Regions from separate parts of the Mus musculus genome. Here all the other regions are reported to be linked to region 1. Evidence: microRNA targets listed by miRTarBase, many of them from high-throughput screens and not tested one by one. Region 1 holds a microRNA gene; each other region holds the end of a gene's coding sequence.
What was found. Region 1 holds the annotated microRNA mmu-miR-302b-3p (UAAGUGCUUCCAUGUUUUAGUAG, at 4,185-4,207, opposite strand). A microRNA usually pairs through its seed, bases 2 to 8, with sites in the 3' UTR of a target mRNA and lowers its output. Matches are read on the target gene's strand: a 7mer-m8 pairs with bases 2 to 8, a 7mer-A1 pairs with bases 2 to 7 and ends in A, and an 8mer does both.

Region 1 (7,000 bases):
CAAAAGTGTCTCACCTACAGGTTGAGAACCTCTGCCTTAGATGGTGGGCTTTGACAGGAAAAAGAACTAGAAAGCTGTAAGCCCGCCCATTATGATTAACAGTTAGCAGTGGAGCCTGCTCTGATCACTGAAGTCTGTATTTATATTTGTTTATACTCCACCACCTTAGAAAAGAACTTGAGATGCTTAATACCTTATTTTCATTATATAGGGCGAGACATTCACAGAGGCCCACCTGCCAGTGCCTCGTGGGTGCTGGGGCTTAGGTACCACCATGCCTAGCTACAGGGACTTTTAAATATATGTAACTACTTCACAAATACGTAGTGATTAAAGCCTTTGCCTCTATATTTGTATTATAGTGGGGTAGGTAGATAACAAAACTCTAATTCCAGATAGTGGTGAGCATTGAAAGAAAAGTCTAGGGGATAGTTCAGATTGGGATCCATGGGACTCTTGTAGGTTGGATGAAAGACAAAGCTCTCTTAAACAGTGGCATTCACAGATCTGGGTAAATAACCAAGCCAACCATACAGTCAATTACACACTTGACATGAGAGTGTGTGTGAGTATTAGGGAAAGAAACAGCAGGAAATTGACTATAATAAAACAGAGTAGAAGCCAGCTGACCTCTAGGGAAGATCTTGGAATAGTTCAAGTGAGATGTGATAATAACTTGGACCAAGTAGCTTATTAGAAATAAAAGGATTAATTGAGGATGTATTTTAAAGCCCGTGCTAGTCTGACTGCTGGTGAATTGAATTGACTGTAGAGTATGAGGAAGGGAGTGAGACTGCTTTCTGGTTTTACAGTTTTGTAGTTGGTATTTTGCAAAGAGGAAAAAAAATCTTAAATTTATAGAATTCTGTTTTTTTTTTTCAAACACAAAAGAGATTTATTTATTCCAGAGGGATAAAGAGCAGGGAATAAGAGATAAAGACAGGAGAAGGGATGAGGGAGAGGGGCTGGAATTCTGTTTTTGTCAGATAAAGTTTGCGATATCCTCTAAATGAACAAATGGAGATGTCAAGTGTGTAATTGACTGTTGGAATATGGAGCTAATGAGAGTGTGTATGTATGAGATAGAGAGCCCAGAATTGAATAGCCAGGACCCTCAGAGAGGATAGATGAGACAGGAGGCCAAGATAGGAGTTTAGTCACAGTTGGAAGTGTCCCTTTTCTGGAAGGATCCAGAAAAGGCAAACTTAAAGCCAGATGAAGAGGTCAGGTAACTGTTGGCATTAGGCAAACACTGAGCTCATTGGGGTTCCGCTTAAATGGTAGGAATGAAAGCCTGGAAGGATACGGTGAGTTGAAAACCTGAGATGAGATCCAGTATTCACCTATTTTTTAAAGACAAGTACACTGTAGCTGTCTTCAGACACGCCAGAAGAGGGCGGCAGATCCCCTTACAGATTATAGATGGTTGTGAGGCACCATGTGGTTGCTGGGAATTGAACTCAGGAGCAGTTCATCTCTCCAGCCCTCCCCCCCCCCCCATAGGGCTACAATGTACTTAATTAGTAATTATCAGGTAGAGGGTTTTTTTTTCCTCTTTTTTTTAATTAGGTATTTTCCTCGTTTACATTTCCAATGCTATCCCAAAAGTCCCCCATACCCACCCCCCCAATCCCCTACCCACCCACTCCCCCTTTTTGGCCTTGGCGTTCCCCTGTACTGGGGCATATAAAGTTTACAAGTCCAAAGGGCCTCTCTTTCCAGTGGTGGCTGACTAGGCCATCTTTTGAGGTAGAGGTTTTACTACTTGAATTTACTACAGAATTTGCACTTGCCTGACAGACCAGCTTTAAAAACATCCTTACTGATGTCAGTGAGATGGCGTCCTGCAGCAGGAATTCCTGCAGCAGGAAGGTTCAGGTGACAGGGGCATTTAGGCACTTTACAGTTTGGCATTTTTGTTTTTTCCCCTCTCAGAATGGAAACTGAAAACCAAAAAACTATGGAAGAAAGCACTAAGAGAAAAGAAGAAAAAAAGAAGCGCTCCCGGGTTAAACAGGTGCTTGCAGATATTGCTAAGCAGGTGGACTTCTGGTTTGGAGATGCAAACCTTCACAAGGACAAGTTTCTGCGAGAGCAAATTGAAAAGTCTAGAGATGGATGTAAGTTTTTTGTCTTTGTTGGAATTTCCAACTCACATTTATATGGGGCCAGAGCCTCCTGAGAGCTCAGTACTGTATATGTTCATGACACACAACTGCATGTTGAACTCGTGCTTGTTTGCACACATGTATATATTCCAGTGTTTAACATCCCACTATCCTATTTACTAGATGTGGACATTTCTCTCCTGGTGTCTTTTAACAAAATGAAGAAGCTGACAACTGATGGGAAGCTAATAGCCAGAGCATTGAAAAGCTCATCTGTTGTAGAGGTAAAAAACTTACATTTCAAGTCACCCACATCCAATTAACTACTGACTTTATTTAGCTTTCCTTTTTTTTTCCCCCCTCATAAAGTTGGACTTAGAAGGGACCAGAATCAGGAGGAAAAAACCCCTAGGTGAGAGACCAAAGGACGAGGAGGAACGCACGGTATATGTGGTAAGAAATGACACAAATTTTAATTCTAGTTCATTTATTTATAATTCATTTATTGGTAAAAATGTAGGAACTTTAAAATGTTCATACCATGATTTATTACAGGAGTTGCTCCCCAAAAATGTTACTCATAGCTGGATTGAGAGAGTATTTGGGAAATGTGGCAATGTGGTTTACATAAGTATTCCACATTACAAGTCTACTGGGGATCCTAAGGGATTTGCCTTTGTGGAATTTGAAACAAAAGAGCAAGCAGCAAAAGCCATTGAGGTACGTACTTCTGTGGGACCCTGAAAAGTAAAGAAAAAGCACAGGGTTAACAAGAGTAACAAATTCTGCAATCAATCTTTTCAGTTTCTGAACAACCCACCAGAAGAAGCACCTAGAAAGCCTGGTATATTTCCCAAGACAGTGAAAAACAAGCCCATCCCTTCCTTACGAGTAGCAGGTGAGTGCTTACTTAGAGTGGCCAAGTAAACAATAAACTATTATGACTGTAAATAATAAAATCTTGTTACAGAAGAGAAGAAAAAGAAGAAAAAGAAAAAAGGCAGAATAAAGAAGGAAGAGAGTGTGCAGGCCAAAGAGTCGGCCGTGGACAGCAGCAGCTCGGGCGTGTGTAAAGCCACGAAGAGACCAAGGACGGCCTCTGAGGGCTCCGAAGCAGAAACCCCGGAAGCTCCAAAGCAACCTGCAAAGAAAAAGAAGAAGCGGGACAAGGTGGAAGCATCCAGCTTACCTGAAGCCAGGGCAGGGAAGAGGGAGAGGTGCAGCGCCGAGGACGAAGACTGCCTCCCCCCAAGGCCAAAAGCTAAGAAAAGGGCTCAGAAGGATGGCGTCGGCCAAGCAGCTTCCGAGGTCTCCAAGGAGAGCAGAGGTACCGTGGCAGTAGGGTTACAAATGTTTTAACCAGTTTAACCACAACAACGGACTTACGGAAATCTTTTTTCTAGACTTAGAATTCTGCTCTACTGAGGAGGAGAAGGAGACAGACAGAAAAGGTGACTCACTCTCAAAGGTGAAGAGGAAGCATAAGAAGAAACACAAGGAGAGACATAAGATGGGCGAGGAGGTTATACCATTGAGAGTGCTGTCCAAGTAAGTGGCCACTGACACAGGTCCATCACCATTGCTAAAGTGCAATTCCAATTTCTATTCAACAGAGTTGCATGTTAGCAACAGTGACGGCCTTGGTCTATCTATATGCAGCACAATGAAGATTAAGTAGGAGCCACCACACTCAAACATGGAAGCACTTATTTTTAAATGCACAGCAAGTGCCTCCATGTTAAAGTAAAGGAGGCCCCTTAAGCAGACTTGAGTGGTCTTTACAAAGGCATGAATATAAAGGAAAACATACCATCACCAAAACATGGAAGCACTTACTTTCTTAGGTCTAAAGCAAGTACAACCACGTTTAAGTGGTGGGAAGCCCAGTCAATAACTCCCTTAACCTACAGCATCTTAGAGAAAATGTTGAACAGTTTAAGACACCCCCACTGAAACATGGAAGCACTTGCTTTTGTTTAACACAGCAGGTAACCCCATGTTAAAGCAGAGGGGACTCCCATCAGACTCTGAATTAAAAGGCTAGCTTTCTTATTCCAGAGTTTCTTGAATTCACTTCTACTAAAACATGGAAGCACTTACTCTTCGATGAGACAGAAAGCATTCCCATGTTAAAGTTGAAGGGAACCCACCCACAAGGCAACTAGTTAAAACAGAAGAGCAAACCCACAGGAAAGTAAAGTGACCCGGTTACAGACATAAGCTTTACCTCCTTTACCTTCGTGACCGCCTCCCAAAGAGTCCTGTTCTGTCCTCGGAGGGTGAAAGACGCCGACTTTAGACCACTTGTATTTATACTACTCCTAACTCCTGAGTTCCTTTTGGCTTTCTATCTCTGAGAATCATTACAAGACCCTTTGTTATTTTAATGTATCAGCTCTGGGGAAAGTAGGTCCTGGGGACCTGGGTAGGTCTGGATTTTTTTTTTTTTTTTCCTTTTTTGAAGTAAACAGATGTCAATGTTAACTGCTAAAACCATTACCACAAGATATCCTCCTCTTTAAAAAAAATCTCCTATCTGCCCGTTTGATGGCACAGATTAGGGTAACAATGAGCGCTCCCACAGAGCCAGGAGATGCATTGTGCTTCTCTGGAGGAGCCCTAGCTGTTTGAAGATACATCTACATGTTAAATGTATGTAAATAAATAAATTGCTTCCATGGGGTGTTTTTTTCTTCTTAGAAATTCCTTTTGATTCAAGTAAATCCTAAGGAATGTTAGCTCTCAAATTGGAAGCAATTTGAGAAATCTTTAAGTTTTAGTCTCTTACTTTTTCTCCAGGTTGCCTGATTTAGTGATTTTACTTAATAGAAGTGACTCAAAAGTGATTTTACAATTAAATATTAGAAGCAACCAGGAAACTCAAGCATTTTCCTTGCCTGTTAAGACAAAGAAACTTCCTTTGTGTGTTTGCTAGGTAGCTTTAACAAATGGCTTAACAAATAATGTAAACATATGCCTTAAAAGAAAGAAAAGTCAGAAAGACTTGCAGTTCCTATGAACATTGTGTTTAGATCAACTTCAGATTTCTAGTTGGGTCGTCTTATCACTGTAATGGCTCAATTTTTGTTTTTCAGGACTGAATGGATGGATTTGAAGAAAGAGTATTTGGCACTGCAAAAAGCTAGCATGGCTTCTCTAAAAAAAACAATATCTCAAATCAAATTGGAATCAGAAATGGAAACAGACTGTAAAGCGCCTAGTAAGTGTGCAGTGGGGAACGGAGAGGGTGACGCTCATGTAATGGAAGAGTGGGCTTTAGTCTATGAATGGTTTCAGGGGCAGTTTTATTGCAGTGATAGAGTGGCTTCCTCAGTTTTAAGCTGAACCATTTCCAAAAACAAAATGTTTTAAGAAAAGTAAAAATGTGAAGTTTTGTATTACACACTAGGTTTTAATAGTCTGTTTATTCTTCTCTACTTACCTGCGAGCTCACTTGTGAGTGCCTGGAGAGAGAAATAAAGACTGCAGGCTTAGTGGATGATGTTCAGCAAGCAGGAGCATATTAGAGCACTACTCTCGTTCATTGTAATATTAGTAAAGGTTTTAAGTTCTTGCAAATTATACAAATTCTCATATTTGAACAGTATACTTTGTGGCTGGAGAAATGGCTCAGTGGTTAAGCACACTGACTGCTCTTCCAGAGGTCCTGAGTTCAAGTCCTAGCAACCACATGGTGGGATCTGATACCCTATCCTGGAGTGTCTGAAGACAGCTGCAGCGTCCTCATAAATAAAATAAATAAACAAATTTTTTAAAAAATGAAATTGTTGAAGCCAGGCAGTGGTGGCTCATGCCTTTGATCCCAGCACTGGGGAGACAGAGGCAGGCGGATTTCTGAGTTCAAGGCCAGCCTGGTCTACAAAGTGAGTTCCAGGACAGCCAGGGCTATACAGAGAAACCCTGTCCCGAAAAACCAAAAAAAAAAAAAAAAAAGAATAGAATACTTTGAATAGTCTTATGTTCATATAGGCATACATCTTTATTAAGGCTTTATTCTTTGGTTTAGAGGTATAATGCCTTTTGTGCCATGTTGATTCCAATGGGCAGTGTGATTCCTTAATATTATTTACAATTCTGAGATCCTTAAACTAGCCTGAGAAGTCGCTGCTGCTGCTGCTGCTGCTGTTGTAGAATAGTGCTCCTCATGTGAAATGTCAGGAGTGGGAAGGTTACCTCTGGCTCCTTCCTCTTCACAGCAGCAGGCAGTGGTCAAGAGTGTTCCACCCAGGAGAAGGTCAGTGCACAAGGCCCACAGTTTGTGACTGGAGTGATTGTGAAGATTGTGAGCGGAGAGCCTCTACCGGGCAGGAAACAAGTCAAGGTAATATTTATGAACCCCATGTGAAATGTTTTCAAAATAGTATGGAAAACAAAGCAACTCCAGTCAGAATTTGTACCTTTCTGATAAACTACTTGTAGAGTCCATGGTAACACTGATAACTCTTAAGTTTACTCTAAATACCTAAATACCTTATTCCTCAGGAAATAAGGCCTAAGTACATCGAATAGCCTGTACACCTTTCTTTCTTGTTTCACTAATGGTTAGTGGCTGTGTAGTTCAGTGGAGAATGATATGGTGATTCTAACTTGGAGTTGTTGAAGTAATATGTATTCAATGTTATGCTTTGAAAGAGTTTTTCTGTTGATAAAGGTATTTGATTCCATATTTTGTTAGTTGGCAGGTTTTTTTCAAAATAGGCTTTCTCTGGGTAGCCCTGCTTGTCCTTGAACTCACTGTAGACCAAGCTATAATTGTCAATCCTAAATCCTATTAGCTTACATCTGAAAATATGGTAAAGGGGGCTGGAGAGATGGCTCAGTGGTTAAGAGCGCCGACTGCTCTTCCAGAGGTCCTGAGTTCAATTCCCAGC
Region 2 (7,162 bases), not on the chromosome of region 1:
CGCAGTCTCGATGCACCTCCACCCGCTCAGCAGGTGAGGCCCCTTCAGAAAAACCGAGTCCCTCAGAAGGCCCGGAAGAGTCCGCCGGTGAGGTTCAGGACACAAGCAGAGTGCGTGTGCCTGGTGAGCAGGAGGAACTGCGGATGTTGGGCAAAAAGGGCAGCAAAAGCAGTATCTCTGTTTACCTGACCCTAAATCAGGAGACATCTGACTCTTCCAGTGCCTCAGTGTGTAGCATTGATAGCATGGATGATTTGAAATCCTCCAACTCTGAGTGTAGCTCTTCTGAGAGCTTCGTTTTTCCTCCCGGCTGTATGCACGCACCTTCTGCCTCTTCCACTTCTACTTCCTTCTCTTCAAAGGAAGAGAATAGCCTCCGTAATTCTTTGAAAATGAAAATCTTTTCAAAAAATGTCTCTAAATGTATCACACCAGATGGCAGGACCATATGTGTAGGGGACATTGTTTGGGCCAAGATATATGGCTTCCCTTGGTGGCCAGCCCGTATTCTTACCATCACTGTAAGCCGGAAAGATAACGGCCTTTTAGCCCGGCAGGAGGCCCGTATCTCATGGTTTGCATCTCCAACCACATCTTCCCTTGCTCTCTCACAACTCTCCCCCTTTCTAGAAAACTTCCAGTTACGGTTTAATAAGAAGAGAAAGGGTCTGTATCGCAGGGCTATCACAGAGGCTGCTAAGGCTGCTAAGCAGCTGACCCCTGAAGTGCGGGCTTTGTTGACACAATTTGAAACGTGAACATGGACAGTAAGGTAGGCGAGAACCACTGGAGCTGCTGCAGGTCCCTGGCTAGTCAGGAATCATTTCCACCAGCTAGCTTGGCCAAACTGGTGAGAAATTGCACTCAGTTGGCTTTTTATACGTTATATATAGCCATTTTTACACTAAGAAGCTGAAAACTGAAAGATGTTTCAAATTTTCTCTTAAGTAGGATTTTAGGAATATTTTCCAGTTTTAAAATCTAAAACCACCCTAAGGCATAGAAGCCATAGCTTCAAATGAAACAATTTTTGCAGGGACTGTTAATTGCCATTTGTAGCTATTGTTTGTGTGTATATGTATGTCTAGGTATGCACACCTAGACATACATACACACACATCCACATGTATAAACTATTGTCTGTCACCATGTGACATGGGTTGCATATTTGAGATTTTAGTAAGGGCTGGAACTTGGGGAACAGTGGATATTCAATGATTACTTGTTTTATCTAGTGAAAACTTAGACTTTCTATGCACATAGGGTATAAAAGTTTGATATTGGATGTTTGACACACTGAGATGCTTGCTATGACAAATTGGTATGCTTGCTGTTTAGTTATAGACCAGGCTGTACACATTGCCAGTATTTGGGATTAAAACTATTAAGACTAGACAGGTTTGGGTCAGTACTCTCTTGTCCAGTGAGGTTGTAAAACAAACTGTCAGATATTTGGTGGGAAGTTTAGATAGATTTTATTTGGGGTATATAAATAATTGAGTGAAAAGTTAGTCAGATTTCTCCTGACTGGCTGTTCCTAAATTCTTAGGACAGACCCTAGCAATTTACACTTTGTGAATTAATGTCATGTGTAATTGTTGCATTTTGGATGTACCTAATTTGATAGTTTTTCAGAAGCATTTTCCATTTAAGGTAATCTGTTTGCAGGTCAGAAAATGAGAAATGTGATTGTATAATGCATTGAAATGTAAAAAAAAAAAAGCTGTAAATAAAATCAACTAAATCCAAATTATTTGTGTGTGTTTCTCAAAAAGCTTTGAACAGTTTCAAAATAGTAGAAATTTTTCTTTGCAATAGTGGTTAGAAAACATGAGAAATTAAACATTTTTGTTTGCCCTGTCAGGGATGTATTGGAGAATAAATAAAATTCAAATAACAGGAGGTACAGTGAGGCTCTATAGTAATACCATCCGGTAGAACTCTAGTTCCTATCAACTGCTCATGAATGCTTTTCATTTTTTCCCCTCAGTTTTAGCTTTGATAAATTGTCATGCTTTAAAAAATTAGGTAATTGTAGTTGGTTTGCTCTCTGGTCTCCTGCCTCAGATATCACTGCTTTATGGGCTTAGTAATCTAACTCCATATTCTACATGGTCTACCTGTCCCTAAGATGTTATTTTTTAAGAGTCTCGCTATGTCACTTTGGCTGGCCAGGCTGATTTCAAGCTCAGAGCCTTGCCTGCTTCTGCCTCCTGAGTGCCCGCAGAGGCAAGGTGATCTCGAGAATTAAGTTGCTTCCAAGCCTTTTGTTTTCTTAAATTTGATATAGTTTCAGTTAGTACTTACTTGAGATACAAAAAGGTAAACTTTTATGGATTTCTAAAATAATCCAGTGTGAGATATGTTAGTTACTACATAATTAATAATAAAGATAATGAAATTTGGAAATGAACTTCCTTAAGCTTGATACCTGATTATTTCTGGGAAAGAAAATAGAATTTCTTCTGGGGAACTTAGTCAATGCTTTTTGATTTTAATAAACACACAAAGAAAAAGATACATATTCTTTCCTGCAAACAGAAACTAATCTGATTATGACAGTCTGAAAGCTCACAGTGTGATGAAGGGCTTATGAGGGAAATATCCTAGGTTTTCTGAGTAACTGTTTTAGATTAGAGTACTTGTTTGTTTACCTTTTGAAAAACTGATTTATGCGAGAGTCATCTAAAAAGTAATGTGAAGTGTGTGATCTGGGCTGTTGTAGTTGTGACTTTGAAAGTGGGTGTTGCTAATACAGTCAGACACTTTGGCAATGTATCTTTATGGCATAAACCATTTGTCCTATTTCAGAAGCTACATGGGAAAATACAATCTGTGATTGTGGAGTATATAAATAACATTCAGCCAGGAGTGATGGCATGTTCTAGTGATCCTATCATTTGAGAGGTGGATGCAAGAGGGTTGAGTGACTTAGAGATTGACCAGGGCACATAATGAATTCTTGTCCAGAAAATGAACAAAGGAATATTTGGCTCTGTGTGCTGGTACATGCCTTTAGCCCTAGCATGTTCTCTGAGATTGAGGCCGATCTGATCTATGGAATTCTATCTAGACCAGCCAGGGCCACATAGTGAGATACTATTTTTAAAGATATCCCAGTAGAATTTTCCAAGCAAGGTGACCATTTGCTATCTACTGTAACAGAGTTTCCTCTGAGAAGATAAAAGGTACTGTATGTACGATAATAAACCAAATGGACTTTTTTCTTCTTGTTTGGTTTGGTTTCTCTTTTCTGAGAGAATTTACTTAGACAAATTTCCAATATAAGAAAAGTAGCTAAAAGACAAGGATGAGCAAGTGCAGAAAACAAATAAGTTGTCAGGATGGCATCTTTAGAAATTTAAAGCCTCATGTTTCCTTCTTCATTTTGTAGAGCTTAGAAATCAGCAAGTGCACTGGTCTTTTAGAAGAAATCTGTTTTCTATTCTAGTTTATTCCCACAGAACAGAAGACCTGTAAAGGATTCACTATCTAAAGTCAGATTTAATGGTGTGTCCCCAAGTGTTTTGTTTCCAGTATAGCAGTCTAGCCTACCTACAGTTCACCTCAGCTTCTGATCTCTCCACCTCTCATGCAGGGATTCCAACACACCCAGTTTCTATGATGATGAGGACCGAATCCAGGCCTTTTTCACTTTAGCCAGGCATTCTATTAACAGATTTTTTATCTATCCCTGTTTCCTCCTAAGTGGTTTTGATATTTTTTTGTTTGTTTGTTTTCAGTTTTTGTTTTTTGTGTTGTTGTTGTTGCTTTTGTTTTTCGAGACAGGGTTTCTCTGTGTAGCCCTGGCTGTCCTGGAACTCACTCTGTAGACCAGGCTGGCCTGGAACTCAGAAATCCGCCTGCCTCTGCCTCCTGAGTGCTGGGATTAAAGGCGTGCGCCACCACCACCCAGCCTTTTTTCAGTTTTTGGAGCAGGATCTTCCCTTATAGCCCAGGCTGATCTTGAGCTCTTCTGTGCTAGTATTACAGGCTTACACCAACACATACGGCTGGAAACAGAATGTTAATGGTTGCTATTATTGTAGCTTAGTACTACATGCAGCAAGTACTAAGCAGGAATTTTTCTGAAGACATTGTAGGCAGACAACATAGAATTGATACTTAAATCAGCTTAGATCCATCTAGGGTATGGAGTTTATTCAACTAAGAGAGGCTGTTACTTTCTAAAGTTATTGGTTATTGAAGGAAACATATGTTCAGACATTTGGAAAGTGGCCAGTTTTCCTTTATACTGAATGACTGAATTGAGAATCAGAAAATCAGAAATTTATAGTATATGTTTAGTTAGGTCTTTTTTTTTCTCCATTTAAGTTATGAATGTTCTGTAGTTTGGACTGACAGTCTAGTGCCATACTGACATACTAGAAAGCTTGTAATGAAGGTTTTAGTTCAAAGGTTTATGTTCACTGATGGTTTCAAATAGGGAATTGGCCAGTTAGTGATGGTCATTTTCTAAGGAGGGACAAATTCAGTTTTTGCTTTGGGGCTGTGCTAATAGCTATTAACACTTTAATAGAAAAATCTGGAGTTGAGAGCTAAAGCTGGGTTGGAGCCGTTCCATTCCGTGCCAGGAGAGTGAGCGGCCAATCTTTGTTTCTACTTTCCCCTGGTTCTGACTTGAAAGGTGCTGACTGCGCTTCCACGGGGCGTGGACATTTCTGTACTCGGGCCTTCATTTAGCCACGGTTGCACAGTGGTAAATGATTTTATTAGACTTTTTGCAGAGTATCTGGGTTTTATTTTTGCCATGATAATTGATACTAAGTTTAATCTATCCTCCGAAAGGGACACCATTGAGTTTGGCTCTGTGGTGCTGGCTGTTGTAGCACACCCCGCTGTGATATTCAGAAGGGCGTCACTCCTTTACTGTCCCTGTGTCTTCAGTTAAAAACAAACAACATTATCTTTGTCGTAGTAAAGTGAATTGTAACTTTATGAATGCTTAAATAGACATGGCCTAAAATTTAACCATTTTGGGGGCGTATTTGCTTTTTAGAGGATTTTGTTGTATGGGTCAGGCTGGCTGGACATGCAGTAATCCTTCTCTCTCAGCCCCTCAGTATTGGGATCATAGCCATGTGCCACCATAACTAGTTTAAAGCTTTGCCTTTAAAACAAAATAGATAGGGGCTGGAGAAATGGCTCAGTGATTAAGAGCACTGACTGCTCTTCCAGAGGTCTTGAGTTCAATTCCCACCAACCACAAGGTGGCTCACAACCACCTGTAATGGGATCTGATGCCCTCTTCTGGTGTGTCTGAAGACAGCTACAGCGTACTCAGAATCAATCAGTCAATAAATGTTTTTTAAAAAATAGACAGGGTCACACTATCTAGCCTTGATAAGTAGACCAGGCTGGACCTTGCCTACTATCTTAAAATCAATTTTAATTGTACAATTAAAAAAACGTGATGTGTATGTGTGCGTGTGTGTGCGCGTGCTCTCGTGCCCACATGTACAAATGCCTTCAGAGGCTAAAAGATGGGATTAGATTCCCTGAATCTGGCATTGTAGGTCATTGAGAGCCACCTGATGTAGGTGCTACAAATAAGAACAGCAAGCTTTGGGGCTGGCGAAATGGCTCGGTGGTTAAGAGCGCCGACTGCTCTTCTGAAGGTCCCGAGTTCAAATCCCAGCAACCACATGGTGGCTCACAACCATCCGTAACGAAATCTGATGCCCTCTTCTGGAGTGTCTGAAGACAGCTACAGTGTACTTACATATAATAAATAAATAAATATTAAAAAAAAAAACAGCAAGCTTTTGGAACTCTGAGCCATCTCTTCAGCCCCCAGTTGTACATTTTAAAGGTGTTAAGTCTGTTTTAAGTCTGTACTATACCACTGTCTATCTGTAATATGGGTGCTTTGCTTTGCTTTCCTTCCCGCTCCCCCATTGGTTTTATGAAACTAGGTCACTCTAACCCAGTCTGGTTTCTAGCCCAGGACAATCTTGTTTTAGCCTCCCGAATGCTGGGATTACAAAAGTGACTTATAATCAGTGTTTTTAATAGAGTTTTAAATTTGCTGAGAATTGGGGCCACAATGTTTGCTTCCAGGATTCCTTGCTGTGTACCTGCAGTCCTGTATGGAGCATACTCTAGATAACAGCACTAACAGTGTTTTATGCTTAAGGACTACAGCTGCCCAGCCGCCCCTTAGTAAAAGTTTTAGGTGAATTAATTTAACTACATTGAGTACAACAATCTTTCAATGGTAGCAATTGCTTGGATAATTTTTTTGTGAATAAAGGAGACATTTTAATAAGTTTGATAATAATGGAGGCTGGACAGATGGGTCAGCAGATGAAAGTACAAACTGTACTGTACCCAGCATCCACTTCAGCATCAGGCAGCTCACAACAGCCTGTCCAGGGGATTGGACACTGACTTCTGACCTCTGAAGCGTGAGGATTGTAGACCTGCACCACTGTGCCCAGCTCTAAAGGCATAGTGTAAAGACAATCTTCACAATGTTTTGTAAAAATTTTGTAAAAAGGAAGATCAATCAGGAAGGTCAGTGTTGGGTAAATAGGTTTGAGACCAGCTTGGGCTACATGGATCCTCTCTTAAAAAAGAGGGAAACCCTCATAATTTCTATACTGGTATCCATGTCTGCAAGGAAAGGAACGCCAAGTCCTTCATGGCTAAAGTATTAGTGCCACCCTCCCACCCGCTATGCTTGTATGTATAAGTGTGCATGTATGTATAAATATGTTCGAGTTTTGCAGCTGTTTGAGACTAGGTCTCATGTAGCCTAGGCTGGCTTCAAGCTTGACATCCTCTTGTCTCTGCCTCTCTATCTCCTGTCATCTGCGCCTGTAGGCCTGGAGTGTGGCTTTTATGGGTAGGCTTTCTTAGAAAAGAAAAAGCTCATGCTGGGCAGTGGGGGCTCATGATTTTAACCCAGATCTCAGGAAGCAGAGCCAGATGGTTACCCTGCTCTACAGATGGCATTCTAGGATGGCCAGGGACACAGAGGGAGGGGATCAAAATTATAATGCAGAGTAAATTTTAGCAAGGGTGTCCTTTCAAACTGTTCAAGATATTTTGCATTCATTGGTGTCTCTCGTTTAAACCCGCATGTAAGATTTTTTTTTTAGAAGCTGGTGTGGAGGATCCTGATCTGAGGCTAGCCCAG
Region 3 (7,162 bases), not on the chromosome of region 1:
CCAGTAAGCCCCCCGTCCCCCGCCGTCCTTAGAGCCAAACATCACACTAGGAAGTTTCCTGCGAATTCTTTGAAACTGAGTGGTAAGGGGCAACAGGAGGGAGTGGCAGTTATAGGTTCACCAAACTTGATTTAAAAGCTCTTGATAACGCTCAGTAACTCGTTTTACCAAGTCTGTTTTAGTAGGTGAAATGATTGAAGTGGTCGTTGGCTTCCTCAAACAAGATATATATAAGACCTCAGTCTGGAAACATGACAGTCCACGAAGAAAAAGAAATTACAGTTCAGGCATTTGTGTACATATCCCCACTGTTAAACTCGCCCACTTTTCTGAGTTCTAACTTTAAAAGACCTAAGTTTTGTCTTCCCCACTTTTCTAGCACGTTTTCCATACTGGCCAAACGCCTAGTTGTGCTTGCTAGCTATCGTGGGTATTATAATTTTTTGTTACAACCTCAACCTACCAATCAATCACCCCTTGCAGATGCAAAAAATAACGGTGGGAGGACGTTTGAAAATACAGAGAAACTTGAGCCCATATTCAAGATGGAGAAACGGAGGTTACAAAGATTTAAGTATGTATGGGGTCATCAAGAGATGGAAGTGTGGAATACTACAAAGTTTAAAGTGTAACACATTTGCCACCTGTAGGTATATCCCATCTGTATTGTAAATGGGTTGTTTGAAGGGGGGGGGGGGTCGAGCCGGGGCGGGGAAGGGCTGATAGAAGATAACAGGTCCCAGAAAGGAATCTGAATCCACTTGTGGGAAAGGAGAAGTAGGTGGGAGAGACACTTGAGGCAGACCAGGGCCAGCTGGCCACTAAACTCAAAGAGGTGCAGGTTTCAGGTTTTAGTAAGTACTGAGAAGATCAAATTAGCTCAACTAAACTGAAGCTAAGCAGATCTGTAAGGGAAGGTAGAGAGCATCGTTTTGGATCTTTCCATTCAAGGTTGTTTTCCGTTTCTGTGAACCCTGCAGAAACTAGACTGTAAAAGAACAGATGCATAACGATGAGGAGTGTCTTCTGCATAATGTCTTTAAAGGAAATGTTAGTTTTGTTCCGTTTGCAGTTCTTTGCATGGCTGGGTGTGACTTCCTTCTTGGATGCATTTATTGCAGACACCTTGTGCCAGTTGGCATCTCTTAATATCGTCTGAAACAAGTTTTCACACAGATCAATTTATAATCATTTCTTTTTTAAAAATATTTTTATTACGTATTTTCCTCAGTTACATTTCCAATGCTATCCCAAAAGTCCCCCATACCCTCCCCCCCACTCCCCTACACACCCATTCCCACTTTTTGGCCCTGGCGTTCCCCTGTACTGGGGCATATAAAGTTTGCGTGTCCAATGGGCCTCTCTTTCCAGTGATGGCCAACTAGACCATCTTTTGATACATATGGAGCTAGAGTCAAGAGCTCTGGGGTACTGGTTAGTTCATAATGTTGTTGCACCTACAGGGTTGCAGATCTCTTTAGCTCCTTGGATACTTTCTCTAGCTCCTCCATTGGGGGCCCTGTGATCCATCCAATAGCTGACTGTGAGCATCCACTTATGTGTTTGCTAGGCCCCGGCCTAGTCTCACAAGAGACAGCTATATCAGGGTCCTTTCAGCAAACGCTTGCTAGTGTATGCAATGGTGTCAGCGTTTGGAGGCTAATTATGGGATGGATCCCTGGATATGGCAGTCTCTAGATGGTCCATCCTTTTGTCTCAGCTCCAAACTTTGTCCTGTAACTCCTTCCATGGGTGATTGTTTCCAATTCTAAGAAGGGGCAAAGTGTCCACACTTTGGTCTTCGTTCTTCTTCAGTTTATAATCATTTCTTTTGTGCCATGTGTAAGACTCTCTCTACTCAAAGGCTCTTGAAACATTTCTTTTAGATCGCTCACTTTCCACATTTAAGTCTATTGTTTACTCTGACAACTTTTTTGAAAGTATAACAAGGGATAAAAGTCCATTATTTTATTCTCCATACAGATACCAACTAACCCAACCCCACTTACTGAAAAAAAAAAATCATTTCCCCTTAAACTTGATGGCAACTTCATTGCTTTATTCAAAATTCAAGGCATCTTTGGAAATGGAATTGCCAGGCTTACCGGCAAATTCATTTTGAGTTTTCTAGAGTCTAAAACTGTAGTTTCTGTGCCTACTAAATGATCCAGTCTTAAGTAGTTTTATTATAGTGGCACAAATGAATTGCTATCTTCCTGTTCAGTGTAAAGCTCTACTGACCCAAGTTAAAAGATTTGGTTTAGGGTCTGGTGAGTTGGCTCAGCAGATAATTGTATTTGTTACACAAGCCTAGAGAACCGAGTTTGCTCCCAGGTACTTAGGTAAAGGTGGAAGGGGAGAACCAACTCCACAAAGATGCTCTTGGACCCCTCTCCCTCTCCCTCCCCTCTCACACACTAACAAAATTTAGTTTAGCTGGGCTTGGTGACACATACTTTTAATCTCTAGTTGTGAGTCTGAGACAGGGATTGCCAAGAGTGCAAGGTCAGCTTGGGTTAAATAATGATTCAAAGTCAGACAGAGCTATACATTGAGAGCCCCCCTTGGGGGAGAAAACTTTTCTGCAAGCTATTTATAGTATTCTAATATTATATACCTACAAAATTTCATTAGTAGGCTGGAGAGATGACTCAGAGGTTAAGAGCACTGGCTGTTCTCCCAGGGAATCAGAGGTTCGATCCCCACACCCACCCACCCATCTGGCAGCTCATACACATCTGTTAGTCTTCGGGTATCCAACACCTCCAGGCTTCAAGAGGCACTTCACAAATGTGGCTCCTTAGGGTTTCTACTGCTGTGACAAAACGCCATGGTCAGAAAGCAAGTTAAGGAGGAAAGGGTTTCTTTTACTTCCACATTGCTGTTTCTCATGAAGGTAAAGTCAGGCCAGGAACCTGATGCAGAGGCCACAGATAGATGCTGCTTACTAGCTTGCTCCCATGGCTTGTTCATCCTGCCTTATAGAACCCAGGGCCACCTGCCCAGGGATAGTACCACCCACATTAGGCTGGGCTCTCTCCCATTGATCACGAGTTGAGAAAATGCCCTACCGCTGGATCTCAAAAAGGCATTTCCTCAACTGAGGCTCCCTTCTCTGTGATGACTCTAGCTTGTGTCAAGTTGACACAAAACCAGCCAGTACATACATACATACATACATACATACATACATACATACACACACACACACACACACACACACACACACTCTCTCTCTCTCTCTCTCTCTCTCTCTCTCTCTCTCTCTCTCTCTCTCTCTCTCGGGGACAAACAGGTGGTTTGAATGAGAATGGCCCCATAGTCTCAGATTTGAATGCTTGGTCACTAGGGAGTGGCACTATTTGAAAAACAAAAAGATTAGGATTGGGAGGTGAGGCCTAGTTGGAGGAAATGTGTCTGTGGGGATGGGTTTTGAGATTTTAAGAGCCAAAGCCGGGGCCAGGGTCCCTTCCTGCGGCCTTCCAATCTGGATATAGAACTCTCAGCTACCATATCTGTCTGTCTGTTGCCATGCTTTCTACCATGAGGATAACAGACTAATCCTCTGACAGTGTTTAAAAAATAAATGTTTTCTTTTTTAAGAGTTACCATGATCATGCTGTCTCTTCACAGCAATAGAAACTCAATACACACATACACATTCAATGATGCTTAAAGGTTATGTATCAGTCCTGACACATGCCTTAAATCTCAAGACGTGGGAGGCAAAAGCAAGTGGATTCTCTGAATTCAAAGCCACCCAGAGGTGCACAGTGAGAGAGACTTTGTATCAACACAAATGCACATGCACACATACTCACAAATGGGTACGAATATGTGAAAAATGACTAAGTTTACCAATAAGAGAGTAGGGACATGCCATGGTACTGAGATTTTTGTTTTCTTGAATTTTTCTTTTTCCAAGTTTAGCAATTACTAAGAAAGCCTGTTTTAGAGCTGGGGATATGGCTCAGTGAGAGTAACCACTTACTATGTAAGCCCCACGGCCTGAATCCGGATCCCTAGGACCCAGGAAGTGCTGAAAGCAGCAGCCCAGGGCCTAGAGGACCCACCTCAGACAGGATACAGGACCCACAGCCAGTGCTATGCTCTCTTCTCTACTGTGTTCCTGCATGTATATTCAGACATTTAAAAGCTGACTTAGAGCCACAGCTACTATACCACAAGTTTATTTTCTCTTTGGCTTTCTAAGACAGAGTCTCATTTACACAGAAACTCATTTCAGTATGTGTGTGTTCTTGGAGCAGTATTTACCAGAGAGTAACAAGACTATGCAAGCCTTAAAGTCTGAAGTTGACCCTCGAAACCAATGGTGGAAGAAAAGAGCCAGCTCCCAAATGTTGTTGTGTGTCCCCTCAGGCATGCACATGCATGTGCACACAGTATAAGAACATGTTGTGTGTCCCCTCAGGCATGCACATGCATGTGCACACAGTATAAGAACATGGCCAGGTATGGTTGATGCATGTGCCTTTTACTCAAGAGTCTGAGGCACGATAATCACTAGTTCTAGGACAGCACAGTGTGTCTTGTGTCAAAAAGCAAAAGAATTACAAACAAGAAATATTTGCTTGAAAACAGAAATATTGAGAACTTTTACATGATTTAATAATAACAATTAAAGATACAAAAATGTTTAGAGGATTCCAAAATTTAAATTTTTGTTTAAATACAAATTCATTTCATAATATGAAAACATATAATATTATACCCCTAAACACAATAATTTTTCTTCTACAAAACTTTCTATACTAGAGAATTTGCAGAAAACAATTTCTTGTGACATTAAATATACATTATTTACATTGAAAAAGTAATCTAAAAACTCTACTTCGGAAACTTGGATATATATCTTTGTATGCAACTTCCCCTCCCCTTCACCCACAGTAAAAAATGATCCAAATAAAAAACAGTTATGCTTTTATAATAAGTGACACAGCTATACTAGCTCAGGACTCCCATTGCTTCTTTGGCCCTCAGAGCCCTGATGCTCTTAGAATAGCAGTCTCTCATTTAGCCCTCAGCTTACTACTAAGCCACAGTTTTAGTAACTGTGGTCTGAAGATTAATGAGCAGAGAACTTAGGAAGAATTTATGGCAGACCTGATAGTAATTTTGTGAGGAAAATATTTTTAAGCAGTATTTTACCTTTACATAAGGAGATAATCTGGTAATATTTGAAATAATTTTAAAGTACAGATAATAAAATCCTAAAATTTATAATAAGGAAACTTTTAGATCATTTTGTCTAGTCCAATGCATCCCTTCATTTTACCAGAATAGCACAGACTAGCAGGTGAAATGTCCTGTCCAGGGTTACACACCTAGGAGATGGAGTGGCCTACCCAGGGTTACACACCTAGCTAGTGGAAGTGTCACAAGTGTTGCCTTTATAATATCACATTTCTTTTTTTATTTGTTTGTTTGTTTTGAGACAGGGTTTCTGTATAGCCCTGGCTGTCCTGGAACTCACTCTGTAGACCAGGCTGGCCTCAAACTCAGAAATTCACCTGCGTCTGCCTCCCAAGTGCTGGGATTAAAGGCGTGTGCCACCACGCCCGGCTACATCACATTTCTTAAACTCAGGTTCAGACATTATCATAGGCACACTTAAATATTTTTGTTGTTGTTTTGGATTTTTTTGGGAAGGTTACATGTAGCCCAGGCTGGCTTCAAACTCACTATATAGCTAAGGCTGGCCTTGAACTCCTGATTGCCCTTTGTCCTCCTCCCAGTGCTGGAATTACACATATATGCCAATATACTGAGCATATACACTTCAATTTATAATGATAGTTTACAAATTCGTAGTATATTCATAGTATAACAGTCCAGCCAACTTTAAAGTCAAGCTAAGTGACATCGCAACAATTTTAATAGTATAAGTTTCTTGCATCTGAAAGAGCTAAGACTTAAATTATACAAGTGGAATGAAAATGTTTCCTATATAAATTTCCTGTTGTCTTATATTTAAGTAGTATTTTCAAACAATTCAGGAAGCTAGTACAGTGTCAAGCTAGAAAAGAAACTTTTAAAATATGATATAGCAACTGAAAAACAGTCAAGAATTTCTTCATCGTCTAAACCTCCTGCTCCTTCACAACTGAGTTCTGAGACATTCAGAGGAGACACACACTTGGGTTCGCCTCCTTATCTAGCAAAGTCAAAAGTAACTTTTTAACAGTTAAGAACTTCTGTGGATTTCATCTTAGAAAAAAATCATGTTATGGTCAGACAACCGAAAAATGAGTTCAATTAAAAAAATACCCACCCATAATTCCTTTGGTGTATTAAAAAGAGTTGGGCTCTAGCAGTTCATTCTGTTTGACGGCTACCTGAGAGGAAAACCCGTTTGAACTGGATAACACCATCACATAAGGCTGGGGCTGCTGGGCACTTTTCTCAGCATCTTCATTCAAATCATCTTCGGCCTTTTTCTCCACCTCTTGCTTAAGAGTTTTTGTTTCCTGAGCTTTGATAACAGAAGTGATCACAGTGCCCGGTGGGTGTGCGACCAGCTGTGAACTCCGAGAGAAAGTCACCACAGGTGTCGTCGCGCTGAACGATGGTGCGGATGCCACACTGCCCGCTCCATTGCAAATGGACTGAACATTGCTTGTGAGGACCTGCTGTACTTGGGTGGGGCTGAGGACAATTGAAGGAGAGCCTGGCTTCTGTGACTGTAGCATGACATTTTCTTTCAGTACTGTCATGGGCTGTGACGATGGAATGGTTTGTAAAATGAATTTCTGAGACCCAGCACCTGATGATGGGTCTATGCTGGCTATAACCGTTGTGAGTGGCACTGTTACTGTATGTAACTGTTGGTTGCCAGGAGACACCACTACTGGAACCTGGGTTGAAGCCTGTATAGTCCTATTGAGATCAACAAACAGAAGTGATACAGTTAGCAAATGGAACATCCTTTAAAGCTTTAATACTTTACAAGTCACTCTTAAAAGTGCATTCCGTTGCTACTTCTCTTATTTTTATCACAGCATAATTAACATGCCAAACATCGTTCTATACATTATACAGGCTTGGTGTGGTACCAGCACACACCTATAATGGACATACTCAGGAGGCAGAGGCAGTTCGGGGCCAGCCAAAGCTACATAGAAAGCTCATGTTTCAGATGGAC
Region 4 (7,162 bases), not on the chromosome of region 1:
ACACATCCAGGTCAGCAGCCTGGGCCACATGAGACAGAGCTGAAATAAAGGGTGTGGGGCAGAGGTTAGGGGAGCAGAAGCTTAGAGCCTACCCTGAGAAACGTGGCTAAGAAGCTTGGCAGGAATGTGTTATTAAATAAATGGTCCTTCTGTCCTTTTCCTAGATACACCAAGAAGCTGGAATTTCTTGCACACTCTATCCTGGGTTCTCAACCTCTTTGGAATCTTCTTCATCTTGGCTGCCCATGAACATTATTCCATTGATGTGTTTATTGCCTTTTATATCACAACAAGACTCTTTTTGTACTACCATACTCTGGCTAACACCAGAGCGTATCATCAGAGTAGGAGAGCGAGGATTTGGTTCCCTATGTTTTCTTTCTTTGAATGCAATGTTAATGGCACAGTACCTAATGAATATTGTTGGCCATTTTCTAAACCAGCAATAATGAAAAGACTAATTGGATGAAGACTCTCTCTCTGTAATGAGTTTGTTGTTAAATATACAGTAGTTATGGAATGAAAATGAATACTTTGTCCCAGGCTCCTGGATACGTTGCATTTGGCTTCTGTGTTGACAGGTTTCCCGTTCTGAGAAAGGCCGTGACTGTAAAACTCAAGAAAGAACACACAAGACTCCTTATTAGCTGTTTGAATGGAGAGGTCATGGAAAGAGTTTCCGCCCCTCACTGTAGGAAGACCCAGCGTGGGGTGATGTCAGGCCGATACCTGTGCATGCTGAGTGTTTGCTTACGGAACTCAAGCACATCAGCTTGGGCTGGTTGAAGAATTGTTACTGATTCCCAGTAGGACTCAAGTCAAGAATATTTCTGAAGCTGGCTTTCCTTACCTAGTGAGCCGTTCTCATGTGTTCATTGAACTAATCTGTGTCTGTCTGCAAAGTGAGTGTCTTACTGGTAAATATGTTTTACCTTTTGAGCCATTTGAAAGAAAAACACATTGAACACAGCAGAAACAAAAGAATGCGGGGGGCACCGTGTGAGGTGACACGCTCGCTGATCAGGTGTCGCCGGCCTCCCACTAATGCAGGGGTCAGCATTTCAGAGCAGGTGCAGCGTCAGTTGCTGTCCCTTTCTGTTCGGAAGCTTCAGTGTGAACAACAGAAAGGGCTCCTGAGGGGAGGTGGCTGTGTTCCTGTAGTGCTGTAAGTCCCCGGACTAAATACTTGTTGTAACTGTTAGTTAGGCAGATGACAGCCCAATATACTGCTTTTTAATAATGTGACTTAAGTGAACACATGAGTGTTTTACCAGATGTTAGAGTTCTTACATCAGTGAGTGAGTAAATGTGCATGCAGAGAATTCTTTTCTTCTGGAAAAAAACAAAACAGAACAGAACAAGCTGTAGGCGCAGTGCTAATTCTCGGGGTGGGGGTGGGGGTGGGGTCCTCTTTTTGTTGTTGTTTTTCCCTGAAAGTTCTCATTCCCGACCATGGAAAGTACACAGTCTGAGACATGGGTGGATAGAAAAAGGCTTCTTACTTTTTATTTTAAAAAAATTATATACATATGTTCTTTCTAGAGTCTTAATTTGGCAGTTAAGAACTAAATACTTTAGCTGCTGTTTACCTTCAGTAATTACTGTCACCTCTCCGATACCATTTGTCACTTTATTTTCTATTGGTTGTACATAACAGTTTTAACCTGGTTGTAGAATTGGAATACTAATTGTATAGTCTTTACGTTCCATTTTCAAACAAGGACTCAAGAGCTGCAGGCAGGCGCACTGCAGTCTCACGCAGGCCACAGCCGGCGTTTATTCCTCTGTCTCGGCGGCTGAATGGTCATTTTTGCAGTTGGAGTCATAGTCCCACCTCTTGGAAGCCACTGAGTGGATTAGGCAGGAAGGGGGTTTGTCTAATAGACAAACGGGCCTCCCCCGTGCTGAGAACCCCTGCTCTGAGGAGGCTGGAGACAGCGCTCATTTCTCACCTGAGAGATGAGGTAAAGCAATCAAAATCAAGTTCAATTATGTTTTTAAATCTTGTACTTCAAAATCCTTGCAGTATTTTAAATTATTGATTCTATTACAAGCCAGGATCAAAAACGCCAATATCTTATCTAAAGAAACGTCCTAATCCTGGAGAAAAGGTTTGCTATGCTTGTTTGAGTAGCTTGACTTAGGGCCAAGGGATATATTACTGCCACCCCCTCTTATTACTCCCCTGCCCCCCACAGAGCAGGATCCAATTTACCTGGGGGGAGGGGGAGAGACAGTGTTGGCTTTTGGGAAAATGTTCCAAAAATGCGTGTCTACATTAGTTTTAAGATGCTAACTATATTAATGGTAAATATCTTAACATCAGGCTTCTCTCCTCCATATGGGTTCTATCATAGAACACAATAGGAAACAGGTGCAGCTGGCGTTGCCCTTGCCAAGCTATTGATGGTGAGAGTGCCTGACAGCAGCCTGCTGTACGGATTGAGTGGCCTTGGGTCACTCCTGTTTGTTTGGAGGAAAAAGATAAGCTAGATGTATAGCCTAGTAGCTACTATAAGACAGTGTTTACAGAGCTAATCCTCTTCAAGTCTCAAAACTGAGACAACATTAGTTTTCAGGTTTTGTCCTCACATCTTTTTCCTTACTAAAACCTAACCATAATGAAGATAGAATTTATGTTTACATTTTGGGCATGATGTGGCTGCGTGCAGTCTCCACGCTTTTGAACCCCGTATTTGATTCTGCAGTCGTGTGAGACTTTTCTCCTTGACAGCTTAGTACAGAAGCAAGGAAAGGTTTTGAGTTCTTGGGGGTGCAAAGGAAGAATTGCCTACATTCTAATCCCAGTGTCGCTGCCCTCCCTGTGGTGTTAAGCCCAGGGCTGTGTGTGCGAGGCAAGTGCTCTCGGCTTTTACAGTGCAAACAGGATCTACTGAAAGGTAGACATGCTGGGTGGAAAGGAACGAGCTCCTATGGAACATAAGCTTGCTCTCACCACCACATAGTTTTGGCAGAAACCTTTGTGTTACACTTCCCAACGAGGCCAGAGTTGCTGTGGCAAAAATAACCTTTCTAAAGCAATGGGCTTCATCTTAGAACCAGTCAATTTAAATAACGTGAGCTGTAACCAAGAAAACCCACACTTCCAATAGCGTAACATTGACACTGTAAGTGGTGACCAGCCCCATTCTACCTGCCTGTTAGGACTGAGAATTCCAAAACTCTGTAAGTTATAAGTGGGGAACAGGGGTGCTGGATCCTTCTATAGCAGAGAGCAAGTAGTCTTTCAGGAACATTTGTGCAAAAGTGTTTGGTTGTTTGTTGGGGGGGGGGGGTTCTTTGTTTTTGTTTTTGTTTTATTTTGTTTTGTTTTTTCAGAGACAGGGTTTCTCTAATTCAGGGATCACCTGTCTTTGCCTCCCATGCTGGGATTAAAGGTGTACACCACCACACACATCTTTTTGTAAAACTTAATTCGTATAAATTCAGATTTGTGGCAAAAATGTATCTTCTTTATATTCAGCAAAAAGAAATTTTATCATTGAAAGATTCTAGATCCAAAATGCTTAACAATGTTTACAATATTCTTGACTTAAACTCTCTGATTTAGTACACTCAATTATTTGATGGTCTTGTGGATAGAAATCCCATAGCAAAAGCAGACAGTATAGTCGCCCTCTCAGCTGACAGACTTAGGAGACAAGAACGGTCTTTAGAATAGTCCACTTGCTTTCCTTCAGACAGCGTGAAAGCAGAAAGCATGTCAGGGGTTTTTGTTGTTGTTTTTTTGTTTTCTTTTTTTTTTTTTTTTTTTTGGTTTGGTTTGGTTTGGGTTTTTTGTTATTGTTGGTTGTGGGTTTTGTTTTTGTTTTCATTTTAAACAAGCTTATGTAAATAAGATGCTTGACTTGAAGGGAAAACTATCTAAGATCATTTTGTTCAAGAGTAATTTATTCCCTAAAGACATGTAACAGCTTCAAAAAAAATATAAAAATTGTCCTTGAAGCTGGGCATGGTGGAGCACGCCTTTAATCCCAGCACTTGGTAGGCAGAGGCAGGCGGATTTCTGAGTTCAAGGCCAGCCTGGTCTACAGAGTGAGTTCCAGGACAGCCAAGGCTACACAGAGAAACCCTGTCTCAAAAAACCAAAAAAAAAAAAAAATTGTCCTTGGTTTTGCAATGATAAATGAAAATCATTAAAATTCTCCAATTGAACAAGGCATGCAAGGATTTGGTGGTGTTGTGTTCTTTTGTTAAAACAATGAGAGCAAAATAACTTACTGAAATATAAAGATGAGAGCTGAATGAGCATGCCACCAATGGAGAAGGGGTATTTTCACAGACCCAGTACTTTCCCCCAGACCATCTCCATCTGATGCCAACCAGAACAGAACATTGGCCATTTCGTTTAAAAAAAGGAAAAGAAAGAGAGAGCACTATGCGTGTGCACATACACCAGTTACTTTTTGTACAATAAAGAAATGGGGACAGGGAAATGAAAGAAGAGAAAACTATACTGTGTAGTCAGGATGTGGCGGGACCAAACTGTGGCTTTTTAATTGAGAATGTATTCTTGGTCTATAACAAATTCTGGAGTAAAGTAGCAGGCTCCCTTTTTAAGTAGACACCTCCAGTCTGCTGCTGGAACACATACATCGATCTTTATTCTCCACTGATTGGTTGCCCATCGAACCGGAATCTGATCTGCCTCATTGACAAACCCTGCCGTTCACAATAGGCTTTCATTAGTTTACTAAGTGGTATATGCCTCTTAACCTTACACTGCACCACAGAACCATCCTGTCCCGCCACCTTCAAATTAATATGATCATTGTTCTCAGTCTTGACTCCTTCCTTGGGTTTCTCGTCAGCCATGGCAAGTGCAGGAGTCTCCTTGTGGCCTTCGCTGTCCTGGAACTCAGACATTTTTCTGCCTCTGTCTTTGCCTCTGCCTCTGCCTCCCAAGTTGCTGGGATTAAAGGCAAGCATCACCACTTACTGCCTAGCAAGCATGTCAGGGTTTTTTTTTGTTTTGTTTTTGTTTGTTTTTTTGAGACAGGGTTTCTCTGTATAGCCCTGACTGTCCTGAAACTCACAAGCATATCAGGTTTAATGGCAACTTTACATAACAGTTTGTGTTTATTAAAAAGTGAGATTAGTCCCAGTCACCCCTATTACCTCTGCAGCTGAGGATTAAAGTACCATCAGAGATGCTTCAGGCTACTGGATGGAAAGAGAAAGGGTTTTGTTTGTTTGTTCTCCTTATGAATAGCTTTAAATGACTAAAATTACTGTAAAAGTAGGTGTTGGTTTGCCTGTAGATTCAGTGGCACTGATTTTACATAACTAATATGATGAATTACTGTATCAAGTTCAGTACAAAGGTCTGTGAACTCTAAGCTATTTCTCCAGCTACACTAAGTTGTTTTTGAGGATACATTCTACACTGTGTTAATCAAAGGACTCTTTATTCTGTGAATTTCCCATCTTGGCATAAGGAAGCTTTGTGCTTTGATGGGAGAAGGAATATTCTATTGTTTGTTTTCTTTTTTCCATTGTTACTTCACATCTCTTTTAATCTGAACTAGTGGATTGTCTGAAGAACCAAACCGAGCCTATTGTTATTAACATCTTTAAAATGTTTAATTTTAATAATTTTTCATTGAATTCATGGATTGTTGGGATAATGAAGTATTTGTGATGTGGAACAAAGGAAATGAAATTGGTACTCAGTGGGGAAGCAGGTTGCTTGGACTAAGCCAGGCATGTTCAGTTTTGAGAATTCTACCTAAAGGTCTCCCTGCCCACAGAGAAACTAGTGTTACTTGAAGACATGAAAATCCCTGTGGTAGCCAGACCTTGAAGCACAGTGTTGTAATAAGTAAATACCTGATTCTAAATTAAATTCAGATTTAACTAATATATATTATTTTATAACTTTGTTGTATTAAAATGTTTTAAACACTAAAAAATAAAGCATTTGAAAGTTGGTATGTGGCTTGTTATAACCCTTGCACTATTAACATAGTGCGCCTTTATGTCTCAGACAGAGTCTTGCTGTGTGTGGTCTGCTCTCAAGCCTGTGTGCCTCCTGCCTTTGACTTGCTGTCCTCCTGCACCAGCCTCCGTGTTAGAATGGCAGGGTTTTTTCCCCAAATGGTTAAACACTGCAGCTTTAGGAAGGAAAATGGGAGGGAAGGAAGAAAAGAATTTAAATTGCATTTCACAGTACACACATGGAGGTCAGTAGACAACTCTGGTCACTGTTGTGTCTCAGGGGTTGAACTGGAGTTGTCAGGATTGGTGGTAGCCCTGTGCATTTACCTATTGTGTATTTACCTACAAACACTTACTATGCATTTACTGCTGCACAGCAGCTTTAAAGCTGTAGGGTGTAATGTGTGGCATTTACTAACTCTCAGGTAATTGTCTGTTTCACGATAGGAAGCTGAGCAGAGGAAAGGCTGGCAGAGAGCACGTGTCTAGCATGTGTGAGGCCTTGGTTTGATCATCAGCACAAAAAAGAAACAGACAGACAGTTGAAAATGGAGGTAAGAAGATTAGAATTCAAGGCCTGCTTTTGCTGCATAGCAAGTTGGAGGTCATCCAGAGCTTTATGAGACCCCAGATCTTAAATACAAGATGTACACTTATCCCAGTACTTCAGAGATGGTGCTAAGAGGAGGACCAGGGTCATCCTGAGCTAGGTATCTGTGTCAAGGCCAGCCTGGGATACATGAGACCCTTTCTTTTCCCCACACCCCATCTCAAAAGGGTCTCGCTGCGTAGTCTTCTTAGTTGACCTACACTAGAACTACAGAGATCCATCTGCCTCTGACTCCCAGTGCTGGGATCAAAGGCTGCACCACCACACCCCCTAAGACCCTTTCTCAAATCAAAACCTTACTGAACATATCAGGGCTCTGCTATAAGCTAAATCCCCAGTCCCTAAAGTATGTGTTTGTTTGATGTTGGTTTAATTGTAGATTGCATGAGAAGATGGCCAGGCTGTTAGATAGGCTTTGGAAAATAATGAACAAGGAAAAGAAGATAAAGAGTTGTTCAGGCCATGGCAGCTTCTAACTATGGCTTAATCGAGATGCTAAGCATATAACTGAATACTCTTAACCTATGGCTGAACTTGTCCACTTGATCTCTACCTCCACAGTACTGGCCTTGTCTTTTGGACACTTAGTGAAAG

Region 2: the mRNA of Pwwp2a is a reported target of mmu-miR-302b-3p. The part of its 3' UTR that is shown has no 7-base or 8-base seed match.
Region 3: miRTarBase lists Elf1 as a target of mmu-miR-302b-3p. Seed matches in the 3' UTR shown: 7mer-m8 at 5,547-5,553.
Region 4: the mRNA of Samd8 is a reported target of mmu-miR-302b-3p. Seed matches in the 3' UTR shown: 7mer-m8 at 3,998-4,004.

Annotation. Positions count from the first base shown.
Region 1 is chr3:127,542,482-127,549,481 of GRCm38, reverse strand. It overlaps Mir302b (microRNA 302b), which reads right to left and starts at 4,254; the gene lies at 4,181-4,254. Larp7 (La ribonucleoprotein domain family, member 7) reads left to right here. Exons shown (of 13, transcript NM_138593.2): 2 at 1,936-2,120; 3 at 2,292-2,392; 4 at 2,478-2,561; 5 at 2,664-2,828; 6 at 2,913-3,006; 7 at 3,079-3,435; 8 at 3,512-3,656; 9 at 5,204-5,328; 10 at 6,326-6,450. The coding sequence starts at 1,937. Gm51018 (predicted gene, 51018) reads right to left here and starts at 4,393. Exons shown (of 2, transcript NR_146435.1): 1 at 4,336-4,393; 2 at 2,579-2,848. It overlaps Mir302c (microRNA 302c), which reads right to left and starts at 4,119; the gene lies at 4,052-4,119. It also overlaps Mir302a, Mir302d and Mir367.
Region 2 is chr11:43,705,445-43,712,606 of GRCm38, forward strand. Pwwp2a (PWWP domain containing 2A) reads left to right here. Exons shown (of 2, transcript NM_027557.1): 2 at 1-1,750. The coding sequence ends at 758. Among named protein-coding and RNA genes, the nearest start is that of Gm34963, 27 kb to the left of the region's middle.
Region 3 is chr14:79,579,920-79,587,081 of GRCm38, reverse strand. It overlaps Elf1 (E74-like factor 1), which reads right to left. Exons shown (of 9, transcript NM_007920.4): 9 at 4,591-6,897. The coding sequence ends at 6,312. Among named protein-coding and RNA genes, the nearest start is that of Sugt1, 4.2 kb to the left of the region's middle.
Region 4 is chr14:21,792,773-21,799,934 of GRCm38, forward strand. Samd8 (sterile alpha motif domain containing 8) reads left to right here. Exons shown (of 6, transcript NM_026283.3): 6 at 165-5,954. The coding sequence ends at 469. Among named protein-coding and RNA genes, the nearest start is that of Gm23502, 16 kb to the right of the region's middle.